Danio rerio: one gene and its partner. The protein of the gene in region 1 purifies or fractionates together with the protein of each later gene. This does not show direct contact. Links are inferred from orthologs where the notes say so. Each region holds a gene or a part of one and is shown in the gene's direction. Other genes may lie near its edges.

What was found.
Region 2: the proteins of cdyl (region 1) and mier1a purify together in Homo sapiens (co-immunoprecipitation; 3 studies listed by BioGRID and IntAct, counting the BioPlex papers as one, with this or other methods). This does not show direct contact. The link is inferred for Danio rerio from reciprocal best matches to the Homo sapiens genes CDYL and MIER1.

What each region holds. Positions count from the first base shown.
Region 1 is NC_133177.1:26,961,247-26,965,084, reverse strand, and holds part of cdyl (chromodomain Y-like protein), read left to right. Parts: intron 1-2,757; coding exon 2,758-2,968; intron 2,969-3,838.
Region 2 is NC_133181.1:37,372,181-37,376,118, reverse strand, and holds the start of mier1a (mesoderm induction early response protein 1a), read left to right. Parts: upstream 1-1,031; 5' UTR 1,032-1,070; coding exon 1,071-1,079; intron 1,080-1,498; coding exon 1,499-1,526; intron 1,527-2,339; coding exon 2,340-2,491; intron 2,492-2,607; coding exon 2,608-2,727; intron 2,728-3,938. UniProt on the Homo sapiens protein: Transcriptional repressor regulating the expression of a number of genes including SP1 target genes. Probably functions through recruitment of HDAC1 a histone deacetylase involved in chromatin silencing.

The sequences.
Region 1 (3,838 bases):
CTGTAGTTAGGTAGGTGGCAGGCTGCAGATAGGTAGCTGTGGCAGAAGTGGCAGGCAGGGGCGGGAACAGCTTACCTTGGTTCTGGCTGGCGCGAGTTCCCTCCTAACACTTCCCGCCCGTTACAGCGTCTAACAAAGGGGCGGGGTGCATGGTGACGTCACCGGCATCCCCGCCCCTTTGTTTACACGGCGGGCGGGGAATGCCAGTGACCGCTGTGTACGGATAGAATCAGCGGAGCGGCGAGCGCTCTCTCTCCCCGCTTCGCTGATTCTGTCAGTGTACAGCGGTCGGCAGGGGCCACAAAATATTGCACTGAGGGCCGCAAATGGCCCGCGGGCCACAAGTTTGAGACCCCTGATTTAAGTGATCTCAGCACTGTAATCTACTTCAGCAAAAACTTGCTGGTCTGTCAAAATGAATTTGCCGAGCCTGTTGTCATCTGACAGGAGTGTCATCTGTGTGCACTCATTTTCTGCTGCTGTAGCTCATCTGCTTCAAGGTTCAGTGTGTTTTGCGTTCAAAGATGCTCATCTACAGACCTCACTTGTAATAAGCGATGATTTGAGTTGATGTCACTTTACAATCAGTTCAAACCAGTCTGGTCATTCTCCTTTGACCTCTGCAAGGCAAATTAACCCTTAAGCATAACATCTGTTATTTGGATATTTTCTGACAATTATTTGCAATCTTTAAAGATGGTTGTTCAAACCCGGACCAGCCCGTCTGACTCCATTGATCCAGGCACATACCAAGTTGCTTAAAGTCAGTGTGACATCAAAATTTACTATGTTTATTTAGCTTGAACACTTTGTCATTATTTAGGTGAACAGTTAATCTGTGCAAATTACTGTGATCAATCAAAGTCTGACCATCTGCTTCTGGTTTGTGGTTATAATTCTTCTCTGCTGATGTCAGTTTGACTGCTTCAGCCACAGTATTCTTAACCATACCCCTCTTACCGTTAGTTTGCTATGAGGGAATGATGTGCAGAAACATAGCCCCACCCCAAATCAATAGTCTTTTTCAGTTGGGATGTACATCAACATACTGAAATAAAAGTCTCAGCAATAGGGTTGGGCATCTAAGCTATAATGCCGATCCGATACGCATCTCGATACAAAGAATACGATCCGATATATTAGCGATACATTTATGACATATTGCGATGCAACACGATACGATTCACACCCATATCACGATACGATGCGATATTTCAGCACTTAACTAATTAGATCAAGTTTATGAGATGATGTGAAAGAGGATGCTGTGCCATTGAATGAGTTTGATTATTTATTAACCAAGCAAAACCAAGACTTTTTTACAAACTGGCTCTTCTCTCAGAGCCAGAGTGTCAGTTTACAGTAGAGGGCCATTTTAGAACATATAGCACATATTATTTAAGTATTTTCAAGATAAACAGAATGTATAAGTGCAATATATATATATATATATATATATATATATATATATATATACATACATATATATATATATATATATATATATATATATATATATATATATTTGCACTCTTTCAACATAAATAAATTTAGCATTGCACAACAAGAATTGTGATTTAACTTTTCAACTATGAAAACAAGTTTTACAAAGATATATTTTGCCACTGATTATTCAAAACTTAAGGTCGTGAACTAGCAGTGTTATGCTGCTTTGAAACATCACTGTCACTGTAAACAACAGGCTAATAAAAATATAACAAACCAGCAATTTTCTTGCTGTGAGGTGGTCAAACTACCCACTGTGCCACCGTGACACCCAATTATTTTTATCATTATTATTATTAATATTAATATAATTAAATAAAAATTAACAGGAGGAGGTGTTTAAAACCTTCGTTCTCCGTGACACTAGGCTGAATATCTGTGCAGATGAACAATGCAATAGCATTCGTTATTGGCGTAGAGCGAGCAGAACTGTTGCGCATGGAAAAAAAAACTTTCAATGCTTTTCTCACCACTTTTGGAGCTGGTTGAAGCAGTGCGAAAGCCGGGGATGCAGAAACACTAGAAGATGCTTTCACAACAACACCGAGGCGCCGCTTCAAGTGAGATATCAGATTAGTCGTACTGCCCGCGTATTTTACAGATGCGCGGCACATTTTGCAAATTGCATCTGTCCTGTCATGTCGTCCATCCTTAAATCCATAATGTTGCCATACTTTAGATTTAAAACTCAGTGGGGAATAAAATGTTTGTTTTGCTTCTCGCACTTTCTGAGGGCGCTCCACTAGCTTCATCCGCACACCTGATACACTGAGTTGTAGTGTGTGCACATCCGCAAATCCGTTGCTAAGGCTTACTTTATGTAGGTCGATTAAATTATGCGCCAAAACAGGTTGACAACACTTGTTAATAAATAAAAAATACATTCTATATTGAAAATATAAGCTGTATCTCGGAAAAATCGATGCATCTCGCAAAAACTGATGCATCTCGATTTGCTTCCAAAATTTCATTCATCCTCTGCTGCTCAACCGATGCACTCGCATCGTGCACGCGCATGACCGCGTATCGATACATATCGGTTAATCTTCCCATCCCTACTCAGCAACTTCCAGGTCATGCAGACTTTAAATCACATTTCTTTCTCATTCTAATGCTCAGTTTGAACTTCAGCAGAGATTGATCATGCCTAAATGCATCAATCATGTGATGGGTTGATTAGAAGTGTACTAAATATGTGTCTTTTGATCATATTTCAGTGAGAGAATTCAGTGTATTTTCTGTTATCTTCAGAACTTTCGTCAACACATTCATCCAGTTCAAGAAGCCCATCATTGCTGCTGTGAATGGGCCTGCCATTGGTCTTGGAGCATCTATCTTGCCCCTGTGCGACGTGATCTGGGCCAATGAGAAAGCTTGGTTTCAGACTCCTTATACAACCTTTGGCCAAACCCCAGATGCCTGCTCGTCTGTTACATTCCCTCTCATCATGGGAGTTGCATCGGTCAGTACATTTAAGTTTTTTTTTTTGTTTTTTTTTACACTTGAATATTTAACTTATTTGAATTGAGCACATCATGTATAGTATTTATTGTTTGTCGTATGCATTCATTCATTAATTTATTATCAAGCCTTAATCTGATACTAGCTAGAGATATAATTTATATGATATGTTGATCTCTTGGCCTTACTCTGATGTAATAGGTATTTATTTGCCATGTAAAATACATGGGGGAAAATTTGACCACTTTGTAATTGAAAAGTTTAGAAGGCCCAGTGAAAGGTTAAAGGCTGATTTATACTTCTGCATCAAGCGCACGCATATGTTCCTGCGCAGCCTTCATGCGGTCGCATAGCCCTCACTGTGGCTGATGCTGACATCACTTCTCAAAAAATGTAACTACTCGACGCGTGATTGACTCTGTGATTGGTCGACTTGGTAGCTGTGACCAGTGTGGGCAGAACCGAGAGCAGCGTGAATCCATTGGAGCGAGTGTTTACAAGTGTCAAGTCCCATAAAGTAGCTCTAGATGGAAACTGTTTTGTGTTTATCTTATGATTAAAGTTGTTGCACATCCACTGGTTCCTGCCTCTGAATGTGCGAGCTTTAGGTACTTATACATTAAGGTAGCGTTCAGAAAAAACAAAACACCAGCAAAGAAACACGACGCAGAGGAACATATAAATCTACTGCCAGCTACTGTTTTGAAAGGGTTATTGCAGAGCAGAAGTTAATGCAGAAGTATAAATCAGCCTTAATAAAGCTACATTCGGTCCAATAACTAGGGCCAGATGGAATCTGCGGTCGTCTTTTGCCATTCCTGTGGAGAATTTTGGTAAAAATATGTGGATTTCTGCGGAACTATTTTGGGAG
Region 2 (3,938 bases), on another chromosome or scaffold:
TCATATATTTTGGCGTATTTGAACAAAACAAATTCATTAAATAGATATATTAATCAAATGAATATATTAGTCACTGGTTGTCTTTAGAAATGGAGAGTTAATACATTTAAATTCATGCAAAATATTGAAAAAACAAAATAAATACAAACTAAAAAAAATTCAACTAAATTTTATATCTTTTTTATTTTTTTATTTTTCCTCTTTTTAATGTAATATTTTTTCTAACATAAATTGGGGTGTACTCATTTTTAGACTGTTATCATAAGTTATTTTATTAGATTAGCTCGCGATTTGGCTTCAGTACTGACTCATCTAATGTATATACACAAATATAATATTGTAAAGCAACATATATTGGAAATATGAATTTAAATGATATATTTGTAAGGGGTAGTACTCATGCTGAGCACTGTAGGTAATGAAAAAGTATACAATGTAACTATGAAACAAAACCATATATTTGTACTAGGTGTGTACTTATTTTTTAAATACATGTAAAATAAATTTGTAAAATAAATGCTATATTATGAACCCCATGTGGATTCACATAAACTGCTACATCAACCAAAATAAATATATATATATATTTAAATATTTTTCTGGTTTCTGTTCTAGTGTGTTTTGCTATTATAACAACTATTAGCATTAATAAAATAATCATTTGAAGAGAGCAGCATAGCCCCGTGAGATCTCATTTTTAAGGGGTGTCCCTTATAAGAAATTCACACAATTTATAAGTATTATTCATTAGTTATAAAAAACAATTATGAGGGAAACAAAGGGTCCAGTACCTAACCTCCATTTTAAAAGGTAAAACTCTGTAAACTTCTGAAAAATATCCAAGTATTATTTGCTATTTAACTTATTGGTAATATTTATACAACAAAATTAATTAATACTGCTAAATATATATTCTGGAAAATAGTTTTTTTTTCAGATATTAGCTGTGTTCATGTGATGGTGGAACTTTTATTTTGTAGTGTTTGCAACTCTACTGCAGCTGTTCTCCTCTTCAGAGTTGAGAATTAAACAATTGTTATTGCTGGCTTCACGCAGAACCTACATCAACTATGGCGGAGGTAAGAAACATTACAAATTGCAGCAAATAACGCGTCTGAGAGAATCGCGTAATGTTTAAATCAACGTATCTTAATTTTTCATTTTAGTCTATTGAACCATTACGTATTTCTTAACATTCGAGCTCTGAATAATTAGCAAACAGTTTAAGGCGCCCAATTTGAATGTGTTAGCAGCTAGCAGCTAACTTGTTGCCTGAGCGCCAAACTCACATCCAGGTTAACTTATTCTTCTATTTTTACTATTTAACACAAACATTGTGTAGTCAGTTGTAAGTAAAGATACCCGGTTATTTTTCAGAGTCTTTATATTAACAAGAGGTTTTATGTACGTTAATACGTCTTTTCTCTCATTGTTTTTGTTTTTAAAATGTGTTGTTTTATCGTAGCGCTTCAAATGTTGTTTATTCATTTTTTTTCAGCCCTCCTTAAGTGCTTCAGGCTCAGAAGGTAACGTAGATTTATGATCATGTTGGCTGTGCTTCAAAGCTTTTCTTGTGTGTGTGTGTTTGTGTGTGTGTGTGTGTGTGTGTGTGTGTATGTATACATATACATACACACACACACACACACACACAAATATGCATACTTAAACATGCATAAAGATATGTACTGTATTTACACAACTGGTCAGTAGTAAGGGGTCAGTTTTTATTTCATTTATTTTTTATTGTTATTTATTATTCTGTAGATCAAGGCGGGATTTATTAAATGTAAAAAAACAATTTTATATTTATTAAAATTTTAAATTATTACTTTCTTATTGTATGTAGTTTCAAATGAAATTATTACTCCTTTTATTGTTGCTTTCATTGCTATTACATTAATAATAATAATTAATAATAGAGTGATTTCTTAAGGATCACGTGCCTCTGAAGACTGTAGACTATATATAAACACACATGGATACATGAGTATAAATATAATAAAACATTTTTGAACATGTTAAGTTTTCTCTGTTTGAGTTTTTATTATGTAAACAATGCCAGTGTTTATCTTTAGAGCGGTTAAGAAATCCATATTTGTTGGAATAACTCTGATATTCAGTCACAACAAATAAAAACATTTCATTTGATCCTTTGTCATTTTCAATTAGAAAGAAATATTAATAACTAATTATAACTAATAAATAATTAATATAGAATAAAACCATCATTATAAATAAATAATTACATTACTTATTAGTTTTATTATTATTATTACTGTTCTTTTTTAAAAGTGAATAGATAAAACTAATAATAATATATCTTTTTTATTAAATAGGAGCACATGCAGTGGTCCAGGATGAGGACAAAGACTTTGATCCTTCTGCAGACATGCTTGTGCATGATTTTGATGATGAGCAGACTCTGGAGGAGCAGGAAAAGCTGGAGGGAGAGACCAACTTCACCAATGAAATTGATGACCTCACTCGAGTATGGGGCATCTGTTGTTTTATTTTTTATCATTCACTACATGTGCTCATGATTAAGCCCTTTTAATAATCGACATGGGTCTAATTTCATTATGTGACTGCACTTCGTTTTGGTAGGAGGGTGAGATGCCCATCGAGGAGCTTCTGAAACTGTACGGCTACAGCAGTGGTGCCTCTCCAGAGGAAGAGGAGGAAGATGTGGAGGAGGAAGATTCCACAGAGAACGCTTGCAGCAAAGTAAACCCATTTATGAAAATATTTTATATGAAAATGATATTAAGTAATTTAATATATTGTGATATTAAATATGCACAATATTGATATTGGCACAACAATTATTTGTTTATTTTTTTTAGTAGTGCATAATAGTACGTTAATATTGAGTCTTAATTGTTTTATTAAATTAATTTGTAATTAATTGAATGTATTTTTAAAAAAATAATATCAGTGCTTCCTACATAGACTTTATTTGGGTGTGCTGCCTTGTTTTTTTTTACTATTATTATCATCCTTGTACATCTTTTTTTTTGTATCCACCCAATATAAACAAATATCCGCGAGCGATTAAGTAGTGAAAAATCTTCTCGTCTGTACCTGTGTCGTATCACTTGTTCTGTTTGTGCGAGACAGTCTCACATGCTCTGCAGACTATGCTTGAAACAACAGTATCTCTAGCAGAAAAGATCTGTTTTTGAAACAAATGATGACAGCAGAAGTCAATAATTAAATTTTATTATTTATTCAATGTTTTCTGCTCCAAAATACTTTAAATGTTTCTCACAATAAAATATATTCTGTTCAAACGGGAAAAAATATATATTTTTTTACCCAGGCATTTAAAAAGTATATATTTTAGAGCAGTAATCACAATACCAAGAAAATGTGATATTTTTATTCAAGATTATCATACCTTCAGAATCTAATGCTGGCCCATGCCTACTGCAGACTCACAGAGACCTGCAACTTTTCTAAATCTACTAAAATGTCCGGGATTTGGTTTTGCTTTCTAAGCTGTCGTTAATTTTATGCGCACAGTCACAAGAGAGATATTAAATAATAAATTATTTAATCTTAACGATTCAGAAGAACTTTGAACTTTCAGAAGAACTAAATACTCGGAGAGGACTACATTACATCTAAATTGGCTGCAGAATATATGTACACCTTTAAAATGGGTAATCAACTCATTTGCCTCATTTAAATAATCTACATGTTTTATTCTTGTAATTATTATAATTTATTTGTGATATTGTCTGTTTTTTCTGTCATTTATTTCTCATTTGCTATCAATTTTATTAATTTGATGTCAGTATATTACATATCTCATACATCTAAAATGCTTTAATGGTGTTTGTAAGAAAAAAATGCATAAAAGAGAAATAATGAGTGTTTTTCATTTATTTTATTTATTCTTTTTTATTTTAACCTATTGAATAGAAAAGAGTTCA